3 linked regions of the Sus scrofa genome follow. The protein of the gene in region 2 interacts with the protein of the main gene of each other region in a biochemical or structural test. Links are inferred from orthologs where the notes say so. Each region holds a gene or a part of one and is shown on either strand. Other genes may lie near its edges.

Region 1 (4,993 bases), on a different chromosome or scaffold from region 2:
AAGTAACCATGAAAAGGTAATGAGGAGTTCCCGTCGTGACTTAGCAGGTTATGAACCCCACTTAGCAGGGTTTGATCCCTGGCCTTGCTCAGTGAGTTGCAGATCTGGCATTGCCATGAGCAGTGGTATAGGTCACAGATGCAGCTCAGATCCCATGTTGCTATGGCTGTGGTGTAAGCTGGCGGCTGTAGCTCCAATTGGACCCCTAGCCTGGGAACCTCCATATACCTCGGGTATGGCCCTAAAAAGATTTTTTTAAAAAGGTGATGAAATTCTAGCTAGAGCACGTACTATCACCAGCCCAAGGGTCTAGGCCTGAAGTCTGTTGAAGATATGGGGGGAAAGGGAATAGGGAGGGTGGGGGAGAAAGAGAAAAAGGAGGTAGAAATAATTGAGGTTTTCCTCCTCCCCAGAATTGGAAAGGTTAAAAGGTGCTGAAAAGACAGGTGTCCAGGCCCTGGGTAGGGGTCTCTCACCTGCAGGTGTCCCACAGCTCAGGCAGTCCTGAGGGGGTACATTTCACTGGCCCTTTCCTCTGATATGGGGTGTCAGGTGCTTCTTTCACAGCAAATTGTGACCAGCGGTTTGTTGGCTCAAGGATTTTTCTGATAGCAGTTTCGAAAGGTGGTGAGTAGGCTGGGCAGATTCTAGAAGGAACAGCTGTGGTTGCTCCTCCTGCCCGGGGTGCCAAATAGGCACCTCCAAAGTGAAGAGCTGTCAGTACGGCTCCTGTGAGGGCCTAGACATCTCAGCTAAGGGCTGGGATCCCCCACCACACCGTGGGAACCTGCCTATCCTGCTTGTTGGAGGCAGTCCTGACTTACCAGAAGACAAGTCAGGAAAAGTCGGCCACAGAACCCGACCTTTGGCTCTGGTATCCCACTTGCCCCGGGTTTGTCTGAGCCCTGTGAGGAGGATTAGACTCCACAGCCCAGCCAGATCCCCAACTGGAATGTTGTCTTGTCTTTAGCTCCCCTGCATTTCCTCTAAGAAGATCTGTTTTGTTTCCCACCCTCAAATATTCAGTGGTTCTGAGCTCCTTTTTTCCTCCCAGGGATTGTTTCATCATCAGGGAATAAAAGAATCCGTATTGAGTCCTTATTTTAAGGCAGGTTTGCCAACATCTTTGTCTTCCTTCAGAATAAAAGGTACCACCAAAACAAAGCATTGCTCTGACTTAACCGGGAACCTAGCCTCCATGTATTTAAGTTATATTTAGAATGGCCAGGGGTTTTTTAAATACTCAGTTTTTAAAGAATAAAATAGCATTTAAAAAATAATACCTGTGGTTTTACATGAGCGGTGAATTGCCCTTATCTTAAATTGCAATTGTTTCAGTACACACCATTGTTCTTAGGGCCCTCTTTCCACCACTGTTCATGTTTACACTGCATTTTAATTGGGTTATTGATACAAACCCAGAAAGTCATTTCTCACAAATAATTGGTGTAATTCTTTGTATACCACCTCATGCTAGGTTAGGATTACTGCAGTCTCATGCCTTTAAAATCACCAAGGAGCTGGCACGAAGCATGTCTTCTCTTATCCTCAGGGAAGCTCTTTCATTCACAAAAGAATTTGACAGTGACACATAATAGTGCACATATAATGAGTTGAAATTTCATTTTAGAAACTGGATCCTCTCACCATCACACATTCTAGAAACAGATCCGTGCACAGATTCCAGTGGACCTCTGCTTGGGTCCCCTAGGGCTCATGGAGCACCTGCTGCTCGCTCACTCAGCACCTACACAGAAACGTTAACCAGTCACCAGGCCGTGGTCAGGGCTGGAGAGCGCAGGGGAGATGAAAGATGGATGAGGAAGGTTGGGGGGTGAACTGAGGTGATGTCTCCTAAAGTGGCAGGAGAGCATCATGATAGAATATGATCAAGTCCTAGGCACCGAGTTGTTTTTGAGGACGTGCAGTTGGCTACCCAGGAACCTGGCCCTGGCATCTGGGCCAAGGCACACCTGGGGCAGGTCACAGCCCAGCTGCTCAACAGCTCCCTTCTGCCTGCCCACATTCTCATGCTGCTGGACAGAGAGAGGATGGAAACGAGCATGGGGGCCGCAGACACCTCAAGTTAGGGCTAGTCTAGAGTTCCCGCAGTTAGGAAGTTGCTGAAAACACCATGTCTTTGTTTTTGATCCATTCTAACCGACTTCTTTTTAAATGCTTGGTTAATGATTTTTATATACACTCAGCCTGTGTTTTATTATTTCCCAGGTGTTGTAATTATGCTCAGAAATCCAGGGTCTTGTAGAGGCACGTGGGAAGGGTCCTCTTGGTTGCCATTTCAAAACAAGGTCTTGGGTTTCTCTTTTTGTGCATGCAGGTGGAACTTTTAACACAAATCCACAGGTTGCTGTCATCTCTAGAGGCAAGAAAAATAACCTGCAATTCAAATCTGATTGTTTTTCAAGAGTGAAAGAGACGGACTGGGGATGGAATTGGGAATAGATTGAAAAGGAACTCGTTGAGGCCAAGAAAAAATGTACAGGGCGGGGGCTGAGGATGGAATCGGAGATGAGGATTCCTGGGCAGAGGGACCAACGCTGTTCCATTGTTGTAAATGTTCATTATAAAATGTTTCCTTCCCTTGATCTCACTGAAAGGTGGTACTTTGGAAAACTCGGCCGAAAAGATGCTGAGCGACAGCTTTTGTCCTTTGGAAACCCAAGAGGTACCTTTCTTATCCGTGAGAGTGAAACCACCAAAGGTAAGATAACGAGCTGAAGAAGCTGGCTTGTCATTCAAATCGCTGGATTAGTCAGAGGGGATGAAAGGCTTATCTCTAATGTACCAGGAGTTTTAAATGGTACATATATCCCCCCGCCTTGTGAGCCAAGTCCTATTTTCAGATTTTCCTCCAGGCTCCAGAACTGCAGACAGTTCCAAAAGGATGGCAGAGGCTCAAAATTGAGACCTTCCTCCCCACACGGGGGCTGGGGCCACTTCTCTCCTCCAGGGACTCTGAGATCATAGACTCTTCAGAAGTCCTTTAGGATGGGGATTTTCTGAAAAATCCCTCTTGGTTCCTCGGGTGCCCATCGCACAGGTTGTGTTCCCGCACTTCTTTTGTTTTCTCCACCACTGAGGACTTTTCTTCCTCCATCTGCCCGCCATCCCATTTTTCTAACAACACATTAGAGCCCACAGAGGAGCTGGGGCCCAGGGAAAGGAGCAGTGGCCTTTAGCTTGATCTGCCAGGCACTGGTTCTCCAGCTCCTGGGAACAGTGTTGTGAAGCAAGAAGTGGAAGCTCAGTTCTAGAAAAACGGTTCTCAGATTTCTTCAGTGTGCACTGCCCCTGCCTGCATGATGCTCTGTGGGTAATCAGACTAGGGCCACAGCCCAGCCCTGAGCAGCCCTTCCCTCCTTCCCGGGGGTGAGTTGGGTCTGTACCTTGTTCACCAGCACAAGTGTACTGAATAGGGTATCATAGGAAAAAAATCCAGGGAGTGTTCATTCTCAAGGCTAGAATCATTTTCTTGCTAGTATCTTCTGACATTTGCAGAAAAAGGTGTTTTCTTCCTGTGTTACCAACTAGAAGTGTGTGTGTGTGTGTGTGTGTGTGTGTGTGTGTGTCTCCTCCTGATAATTATTCATCAGGATACTCGAGTAAATGAGACCTGAAAAACACATGGCTACTGAGAATGATTGAAGCTGCTAATGCTTTGCATATTCCCCAGGTGCCTATTCGCTTTCCATCCGTGACTGGGATGATATGAAAGGAGACCATGTCAAACATTATAAAATTCGCAAACTTGACAACGGTGGGTATTATATCACCACCCGGGCCCAGTTTGAAACACTTCAGCAGCTTGTACAGCATTACTCAGGTAACCTGAATTCTAACTCGCTACTGGCCACTTGGATGCTGGAGGGAGTGGGTGGGCACAGAGCAGGGAAAGAGGTACAACGAATATGGACAAAGCCACACTCGGGAAATACTTGGCTTTGCCAGCCCCTCAAGGTGGGTCTTGGCCAACTGGGTTCTATCAGTTTTTTTCCTTCAGAGCTGTTATTAGTTCCATATGTTTGTCAAAAGCTTATAATGCTGTAGTTCCCCACGTAGAAAGCAAGAGGTTAAATTCTAAAAGCTCTTTGTTTTTTCCATCATCATCCTGAACTCCCTGAAAGTTATCTCTTCCTGTTCCCTGGCAGTGTGTAGTTTAGAAACCCTGCAAGGCAGAGGGTGTGGTCTCCGAGAGGACACTTACCTGGGGTCTCCCACAGGGGGTGCTGTGTTTCTACCATCTCTCTACACTCAGCACTGTTGCAGGAACAGCTGCACATAACGTTTCATTCTCATGACTAGATAAATTTTGCCATCCATTTATTTATTTTTTCTTTTTTCTTTAGGGCCTAACTTGCTGCATATGGAGGTTCCCAGGCTATGGGTCGAATCAGAGCTGTAGCTTCTGGCCTACATCATACCCATCCACTTACCATATTCTACGTCCCCATCAATACTTCTGTTTCCTAACTAGGCTTAGACATACTTGACCCACAGCCCTTAGATCTGGTACAGCTCTTACAGTTACTTTAAACTTTTAAACAGAACATCAATCCCTGTCCTAACACCAAGATGTCACCATTGGTCTGTCGTTCCTAGAAACATATAATTATTAGCTGTGTGATTTGTACATTTTATTAAAGAAGGTAATTGTATGTGCAGTAGTTAAAATGATGGCTTTCTCAAGTTCCCACTGTGGCACCACAGGATAGGTAGTGTTGCTGCAGTGCCAGGACATGGGTTCCATCGCCAGCCTGGCACAGTGGGTTAAAGGATCTGGCGATGCCACAGCTGTGATATAGGTCACAACTGTGGCTCTGATCTGATCCCTGGCCCGGGAACTCCATAAGCCACAGAGCGGCCAAAAAAGAAAAAATAAAAATTAAAAAACAATTGCTTTCTTTCCTAGATTAGCAAGTGTATCCCACTCTGTCATATGTACACACCAATGGACATAGCTGTGCAGATGCAA
Region 2 (4,993 bases):
TGCCTGTTGGAAGAATTTTCACATTCATATTGGCCCAAAAAGAAAACACTTTGAAGTTTTAGGAAACTGGCACTCACAGGACCCCTTGGCTGTTCGGCCCAGCCATTTCCCTTCAGGGTTGTCTGTGATGCGGATTATTTCAATTTGCTCTCCTTGCTTGACACTCAGTTCATTTTTCCCTCCTTTGACATCACAGCAAGCTTTTGCTTGATGGATGACTTGAATAGGGCCCGTGAGCTGCAAAGAGGGGGAAAAAAAATTACAAATTCATATTTAGTGGCATGATTTCTATATCCTATTTTTTCTTACTAACAAATATTATTTGAATGAATAAGCCAAACAATGTGATTTTTCAGAAAAAAACCACAATGAAAATCTTTATATAATTCCTTCAAAACTATAAACAATCTCTTTATAATAGATATGCTATAAAATTTTTCATTTAAGAAATTAGTTTTTCATGTTTTACGCTTGAAAATTTCTAAACGCTCGTAACCATATAGACTGTATGATTAAAATGTTTTGATGTTCATACTGCAATCTTAGTTTTAATTATATATAGTAAGAAAAACTGAATGAGAACCTATAAATGATACAGCACCTTATGTGCATTATTTTATTTAATGCCATAATAAAATTTCAGGAGAGCTATCGTTTACTCACTTTAGAAATAAAAACCTGAGGTTCAGAGAAGCTTAGTAACATGAACACCATCAAATAACTCACAGGTGCATCTGGAATTTCAATGCCCATCTGTTCAACTGAGTCTAAGCTTTACATTTTCCCTGTGCCCTGCTGTTGAATCTTTATTTTATTATAAGAAATATACTGGGAAGTTGTATATAAATCACATTTCTATAATTTAAACCACATATTAAATGTTTTGGAAGAATTAAATATTCAAAGGAAACTTGATAATGTTATCCTTTTTAAAGTGAAGAATAGTTTTGTCACCCAGATAATCACTCTAAATGTAGCTGACATATCAAACCCACACCAGATGGGTCATGTTTTCAAAGACAGACTAGCCAGGCCAGTACGTTCTGCAAGTGCAGTCTTAGTGGTGGCAGTAATAGAAGTCACACAATTAGACATCAGAGAAGACAGAGGTCAGAAATCCAGGCAGATGAAGAGGGATGAGAAAGAGCAAGTATCAGAAGTCAATATGTACACAGGCTTAAAACACAGGCAAAAATGTAAGTCAGGTCTAGACATCAGCCATCAGAGTAGCTTGGAGATTCTGAGACAGGTATGGTTGATCCAGAGACACTCCTGTCCCTTGCCCCACTTTATACATGCCACAGGAATAGCTAAGTGTGTGGGTCTGAGCTCCTATTATAAGTAGGTTAACGTGAAATGCATGATGAGGAGAGTCAAGAAGGGTCTTAAGGAACCAACCAAGTATTCATTCACTCAACCGACGTAGAATTTCTTGAGCTCCAACTATATTTTATTTGGATTTTATGCAACTCATAAGCTGCCATATTTTATCTGAATTTTATTTTTTTAACTTTTAAAAAATTAATTTATTTTTTCTTGTTATGGCTGCACCCACGGCACATGGAAGTTCCCCGGCTAGGGGTTGAATCGGAGTTGCAGCTGTGGTCTATGCCACAGCCACAGCAATATCAGATCTGAGCCACATCTGTGATTTACACCACAGATTTCAGCAATGCCAGATCCTTAACTCCACTGAGTGAGGCCAGGGATTGAACCTGCATCCTCACGGACACTTTGTCAGATTCTTGACCCACTGAGCCACAGTGGGAACTCCTATTTGAATTTTCTTATATTGCATTTTTAGTGCAAGATAAGGGAGAGTATTGGACAAAAACCTTACTGTTATGAAGGTAGTTACTCTTGAAAACAATGATTAAATTTTCCAAATATGTAAGGTTTCAAAAATGGTGCCCCTTTTGTGTGAAAGTTATAAAGAAGTAACTCCTTTTAAAAAAATGTACACGTGCACAACACTGTAAACCAACTATAAGGGAAAAAATAAAAACCATTATATTAAAAAACCCATTATATTAAAAAAAAAAGAAGTTACTCCTTCTGTAAACCAGCTATAAGGGAAAAAAATAAAAGCCATTATATTAAAAAAAACCCATTATATTAAAAAAAAAGAAGTTACTCCTTTTCATTCATTAGCAAGCGAGGTCTTACTTTAAATTTCTTCTTTATTTCTTGTTCTTTCTTTTCTCTCTCTTTTTGTTCTTTTTTCTCCAGCTCTAATCTCTTCTTTTCCTCTTTTTCTCTTTTCTTCTCTTTTTCTTTGGATGCTTCTCTGAGGATAAACATTGTTAGGTTGTTTCAGCATCTGCAGGCATGGATGTGTTAGGGCTCACCCTCCAGAGAGTTCCTGCCCACCACAGAAGGCAGTGTCTGAAGTACAGGTGAAGGCACAAAGCCAAGGCTTGTCAAAATTCCTGGGTGTATGAGATGGTTCTTAAAAACGGCAGAAGGCCTATACATGAGGATACCTTCCAAAGGCTCTGCTACCCCTAAACTCATGCCAGCAAGTAGAAACCACTGTCCATAAACCCTGTTCTTTTTTTTTTTTTTTTTTTTTTTTTTTTTGCTTTTTAGGGCTGCACTTGAAGCATGTGGAAGTTCCCAGGCTAGGGGTCAAATCAGAGCTGCAGGATCTCTAACCCACTAAGCGAGGCCAGGGATTGAACACATGTCCTCATGGATACTAGTCAGCTTCGTTTCCACTGCACCACAACGGGAACTCCCATAAAGGCCCTGCTCTTGAGGCCTGTTGGCATGAATAGCATGCATCTCTCTCTCTCTCTTTCTCTCTCATGTGCACACTCACTGGTACAAGTGCACATACACATGTGTATGTGCAAACCTTAATTCCCAAACTTTTAGTCAGAATTAGTTGAATAAGAACTGGGTAGAGAAAATTAAGGTATCTGAATCAGCAAAAGATAAAATACGATGCTCATTTCTACTTTCCCTCATTTTCTGAGAAATTTAGTCTTGGGCCACCCAGAAGTCTCTTTTGGAGCTATTTTAAACATTTTTTCTGCTTTAGCAGGCCGACACTTTGGCATCTGGTGCTGTGTTGAACTGTCTCTCATGGAACAGTTGTGAGGCGAAGGGCTGCCTAGGTGAGGATTGTGTTACATGGACATGAATGCATTTGCCCAAGGACTTGCCAAGAGTGGGAAATACAGATTCCCACCCCTGGATTCCCTGCCTGTGGGCTATCTAGTGGGGTGTAGGCTCCCAACTCCTTTCACAACGGCATTTGAACAGGGTCCTCTGAAAAATCCTTAGACAAGAAAAGAATCTTTAGTCCCTTGTACTGAAATAAATGTTATCATTATAAGCCCTTTATTTGAACAATAGAGCGTCTCTCCTCTAGTGTTGAATATCTATCTGCACCCCCTCTTACAAATCATTGCATTTATCTTAGAAGGAAAATATCATGGTAAAAAAATGTAATGCATACATGTCTTCATATGTTTCTCCTTCACTCTCTTGCTCCTGTCAAGAAAAACAATGATGATTAATTGTAATTATTTAATAAGGGAACATACACATATTTCATTGCTCAAATACTCAGTAAAACAAACATAAATTTAATTGCATATAAATTTGAATGTTTAAAACATATTTTTTTCCTTTTAGAAGTAGACTGAGAAAATAAACACAAAAAGATTCCATTTTCTATCCAGCTATATAATCCAGATATATAGCCAGACCTGAGCTCATGTTCAGTGCTGCAAAATTACTATGAGTCAGTGTAATAATTGGTGTTTAATGTCTCAAGCATTTCAGATAAAATAAGATTATAAGTGAAAAAATACCATCATTAACTCCAAAGAATTTTCATTTGTTCCTTTACCAATAGAAAATGAATCACAGAGTTGCCATTGTGGCTCAGTAGTAATGAACCCTACTAGTATCCATAGGGCGCAGGTTTGATCCATGGCCTTGCTCAGAGGGTTAAGGATCTGGCGTTGCTGTGCGCTGTGGTGTAGGTTGCAGATGTAGCTTGAATCTGGTGTTGCTGTGGCTGTGGTGTAGGCTGTGGGGTATAGCTCCGATTTGATTTCTAGTCTGGGAACTTCCATATGCTGTGGGTGTGGCCCTTCAAATACAAAAAAAGAAAAAAAGATAATGAATCACAGTAATGGTTAAATATTCTATTGACAGTAATATAAGAAGGAAAGAAAAACTGACCTCATCGAGATTTCCAGTACCTAAAGTATTTAAAAAAAGAATACAATTTAATATACTCTAATTAAGAAGTGGTTTAACATGAATTATGAAATGCAATATAATATTCAAATCAGTTTATAATCTAACAGAACTTTTGCTTTACCCAAGGTATGTAAGTACAAAATAGAACATGTGGTTTAGATCCCTATTATTGCTTTTTTGAATCTTGGAATTTAATTACAAAATCATTTCATTGGCTTTCATAAAATAATGCAAAAACCAAAACATAATGAAGACACTCTTTATTTCTTTATGAAAAATACACATGTTTGATTTTGTGGGCTTGTGTAGAACAAAGGTATGACCAGAAAATCACAACTAGCTCACAGTTTTTGATTTATTTGCTCCCAAGGATTTACTTTCATGTATCAAACAAATCAAGTTAATAGGATTTTTCAAAAAGATATTTTACTGCTCAAGTGTTTAGTAACATCAACAAATTACCAAATATTAAGACATAATATAAAACAATAATAATAAACAGTGTAGTATTGATATTAAAACAAATAGACAATGGAACACAGCAGAGAGCTCAGAAACAGATACCCAAATTACACACATGCAAACAGAAACACACATTATGCACACACAAATACACCATGTGTACAAAGACATAAACACACTAATACAGCTAATACAGTAAAGGTGGCAGTATAAATTAATGAAAAAAGAGTGGATTTCAGAATATAGTGATGAGAAAACTGACTTTACATAAAGAGACAACAAATTTGGATTTCTACAAACTCCTCAAAGGTCA
Region 3 (4,034 bases), on a different chromosome or scaffold from region 2:
CAACAACAGCAGCAAAAAAAAAAAAAAAGACAAAAAAGACAAAAGACAAAAAAAAAAAAAAAAAAAAAGAACAGAGGTGGTCAAGATGGCTTCAGAATGGGAATGAGATAGAGGCGAGATGATGGTCAACTTTAGGGTATACTGAATTTGAGCAGCTCGACGGACATGCAGTTAAGCTTTGGGATCCAACCCTTCGATGTGGGCTAGAGCTATGGTTGTGAGTCGTTCACACAGGCATGGTGGCTAAACCACACAGCTATATAAGACTGTGGAAGGAAAGCACATCAGGTCAGAAGGCAACTAGGAAAACCACCCTAAACGGAGGGATAAAGATGAGAAGGAAAAGAAGCCACCAAAGAGGTAGGAAGGAAACCAGGAAAGTGTAATTATAGAAACTAAAAGAAGAAAATACCTCAAGAAGGGTCCATAGTGCCAGCACTGCAGAGAGATCAAGTAAGTTAAAGACAAAAGTACCCATAGAATCTGAGCAATAAGGAGGTTCTAGGAGACACCGAGAGGAAGTATAAGTGGACTGAGGAAGCAGAAGCCCGATTAGAGTGGTTCAAAGAGTGAGTAGAAAGCAAGAAGTTGGAGCACTAAGTGAAATAAATTCTTTCAATAAATCTGACTGTGGGAGTTCCCGTCGTGGCGCAGTGGTTAACGAATCTGACTAGGAACCATGAGGTTGCTGGTTCGGTCCCTGCCCTTGCTCAGTGGGTTAACAATCCGGCGTTGCCTTGAGCTGTGGTGTAGGTTTGCAGACGAGGCTCAGATCCTGTGTTGCTGTGGCTCTGGCGTAGGCTGGTGGCTGCGGCTCTGTTTCGACCCCTAGACTGGGAATCTCCATATGCCGAGGGAGCGGCCCAGGAAATAGGTAAAAGACCCAAAAAAAATTTAAAAATTAAAAAATAAAATAAATCTGACTGTGAATTGGCAGTCCGCATAGAGCAGTAGAAATGGGAAGTAGACATGCAGTGGGGACTATTTAATAGTTGTTTGCAAAGACAAAAGAGACTCGAACCCACTTTGGTGCAGATGGAAGGGGCCGTTTACATGGGAGGCAGAGGTCAGATTTCTCAGAACCTAAGAAAGAAAGCAGAAGGGTTACAAGGGCGAGTGTGAGGACCAGTCTAAAGCCAAGAGAGGGGAGTTCCTGTTGTGGCTCAGTGGAAACGAATCCGATTAGCATCCATGAGGATGCAGGTTCGATCCCTGGCCTTGCTCAGTGGGGTAAGGATCCGGCGTTGCCATGAGCTGTGGTGTAGGTCGCAGATGAAGCTCAGATCCCGAGCTGCTGTGGCTGGCAGCTGTAGTCCAATTCAACCCCTAGCCTAGGAACTTCCATATGCCTCAGGTGCAGCCCTAAAAAGATAAATAAATAAATAAATAAAGCAAGCCGGGAAAGGGACATCTTCTCCACTTTATTGAGAAAGAAAGGTGGTTGTCAACAAAGGTAAGTTCCTGTTTGGGTGGCTTCTCTTTTCTCTTCCTTCAAGGTGGAAAAAAGGTCAACTGCTGAGAGGAAGGGAGAGGCAGAGTTGGAGGAAGGAAGATATACGATGAAAAAGAAACAAAAAGATAACTGGTTGACCCAGAATTTTGTGTCACCAACCTAGTTTTCTTTTTTTTCCCCCCTAGAACTCAGCAACCAGGTGTGCACAAGGCTTAAAACATTAGCTCCTCAGTACCCAAATCCAGCTGAACTGGAATACATATATTTCCCATGAATTCCTAAATTTCACTTCTTTCAAGAGAAGGAAAATATGTTATAGTGCTTTTAGGAATAGCCCCATAGTGTTCAACATCTGCCGTGCTTTTAAGATCTTCAGTATTCAAGGAGCTCTGTTCTCAACTCTGTAACTGTCCTTCTTTTAAACCCTCTCATTCCCTTTCTTGTTTGCCCCTTTCTATGGCTCTTTGTTTGGTGTTTGGGGTTTGTTTTTTTTTTTTTTTTTTTTTTTGCCACACCTAAATCATGTGGAAGTTCCCAGGCCAGGGATTGAACTGACACCACAGCAGTGACCCAAGCCCACTACAGTGACAATGCCAGATCCCTAACCGGCTGCACTGCAAGGGAACTCTCCTTTCTATGGCTCTTTTGTCCTGCCCATCATTACTGATGTCAACCTCCCACCTCTTCCAAGGGAGAAAGCCAATGTTTAGAGCACCTACTGTGTATCAGACACTTTGAATTGTTTTCATGTCTGCAGCATCACTTATATCCCAACACAGGGGAGGGTAATATTATCCCTACTCTTACAGAGGAGGAAGCTAGGAGACCCTCCAGTCACATGGCTACTAAATGACCAAATGGGGACTAAATCCCAGTCTGTCTGACTCCATAGCTCATTACTCTGTGCTGTAAACTCCCAGGGAGCAAGCAGTGTTGATTCATCATAATCTATCTCGTGGGAACTCAAACAGCACTTCGCACATAGAAGATGCTTGGTAAATATTATTGATTTGAACTATGACCCAACTCCCTGAATATCTTTAGTGGTCTGGCATTTTAGGGTGTGCCCAACTTTCCTCGAAGAAGCCATTCCACTCTGCTTGGTAAAAGACATGCTCTTTAGGTTCAGCAATAGCACCAAATGTGCTAAATTTTCAAGATAGACAGAAAGATGGCAAAAGGAAAGCAGAGTTTGCTGTCTGCCTCTAGATAACTTTTTTTAATTTAGTAATCCCATCAGGGGTGTTAAGTTGTACTGTAGTGTCAACAAAGAAACCACCCAGCAGAGTCTCCCATGCAGTCATTAACAGATTAAAAAAGATTAACAGAAGCATGACTAAATTCCAACTGAAGGCATCCTCTTTTCATTTTTCAGGAGTATAACATGTATGGCTGGTGGGTAGGAGAAATGAACAGCCTCATTGGGATTGTTCCAAAGGAGTACCTCACCACTGCCTTTGAAGTGGAAGAAAGATGAAGCCCAGGTATCAATTGCCAATGAATTTGTTGGCCATGCCTTGTATTTGTTGGCTATGCCTTCATTTCTCTGTGAAGGATGAGAGTTGCCAGTGAAGTAGCTTTTCTTCGTTTCCAAAAGTGATGCTTGTAATTCACCATTGAAAGAATATAAATCTGTAATTGTTTTTCCTAAACAGGGGGACTGTGACAGTCAGGATTAGGTTCAATGAACTACCTATGACAGAAAACTAAAAATAACACTGATTTAATTAACATAGAAATTTATTTTTCTCTTCTACAAAAATATGGAGGTAAGTAATCCAAGGTAGCCAGGTCCCAGGTGCCTTCTCTTTTTGCTCCACTGTGTGTGGTCAGCATTCGCATGGTACCTAATGGCCCAATATGGATGCTCCAGTTCCAGCTATCGTGTCTGTATCCTACTCAGCAGGAAGGGAAAATGAAAGGAGAAGGGACACCCTCTCCTCTCCTTTTAAGGACACCTCACAAATGTTACACACACCACTTCTGCTTTCATTCCATTGACCAACTTGGACATATAGACATACCGAGCCACAAAGAAAGCTTTCTTTTAGGTAGAACCTGTGTCCAACTTAAAAGTGGTGATGGGGGGGTGGTCATTAATGAATTTAAAAGGGAGAATGGATATTGGAGAACAATTAGGAATTTTTTCAGAGTTCCCATCATGGTGCAGCAGAAACAAATCCAACTAGGAACCATGAAGTTGTAGATTCAATCCCTGGCCTCACTCAGTGGGTTAAGGATCCAGCGTTGCCATGAGCTGTGGTATAGGTCACAGATGCAGCTCGGATCTGGTGTTGCTGTGGCTGTGGCATAGGCCGGCACCATAGCTCTGATTAGACCCCCTAGCCTGGAAACGTCTTATGTGCCACGGTTGCGGCCCTAAAAAAGAAAAAAAAAATTCTTGCCACAAGGATAGGTCTGGATTTCTTTATCCGCAGTTATCAAATCCAGGGCACCATTTCCCCCACATGCCCGTGCATAGCAATATGATTGGCCAAGATTAGGAATCCAGTATGAGGATTCCTATGGAACATAATTAAATTAACGTTTAGGTAGTAAAGAATATGGCTTGCGTTTTATG

What was found.
Region 1: the proteins of FYB (region 2) and FYN form a complex in vitro, tested with the Homo sapiens proteins (2 studies listed by BioGRID and IntAct). The link is inferred for Sus scrofa from reciprocal best matches to the Homo sapiens genes FYB1 and FYN.
Region 3: the proteins of FYB (region 2) and SKAP1 form a complex in vitro, tested with the Homo sapiens proteins (2 studies listed by BioGRID and IntAct, with this or other methods). The link is inferred for Sus scrofa from reciprocal best matches to the Homo sapiens genes FYB1 and SKAP1.

The regions. Positions count from the first base shown.
Region 1 is NC_010443.5:77,624,646-77,629,638, reverse strand, and holds part of FYN (tyrosine-protein kinase Fyn), read left to right. Parts: intron 1-2,618; coding exon 2,619-2,722; intron 2,723-3,694; coding exon 3,695-3,844; intron 3,845-4,993. UniProt on the Homo sapiens protein: Non-receptor tyrosine-protein kinase that plays a role in many biological processes including regulation of cell growth and survival, cell adhesion, integrin-mediated signaling, cytoskeletal remodeling, cell motility, immune response and axon guidance.
Region 2 is NC_010458.4:24,364,589-24,369,581, forward strand, and holds part of FYB (FYN-binding protein), read right to left. Parts: intron 4,218-4,993; coding exon 4,198-4,217; intron 3,499-4,197; coding exon 3,464-3,498; intron 2,288-3,463; coding exon 2,167-2,287; intron 238-2,166; coding exon 78-237; intron 1-77. UniProt on the Homo sapiens protein: Acts as an adapter protein of the FYN and LCP2 signaling cascades in T-cells. May play a role in linking T-cell signaling to remodeling of the actin cytoskeleton. Modulates the expression of IL2. Involved in platelet activation.
Region 3 is NC_010454.4:24,373,043-24,377,076, reverse strand, and holds part of SKAP1 (src kinase-associated phosphoprotein 1), read left to right. Parts: intron 1-2,828; coding exon 2,829-2,930; 3' UTR 2,931-2,937; intron 2,938-4,034. UniProt on the Homo sapiens protein: Positively regulates T-cell receptor signaling by enhancing the MAP kinase pathway. Required for optimal conjugation between T-cells and antigen-presenting cells by promoting the clustering of integrin ITGAL on the surface of T-cells.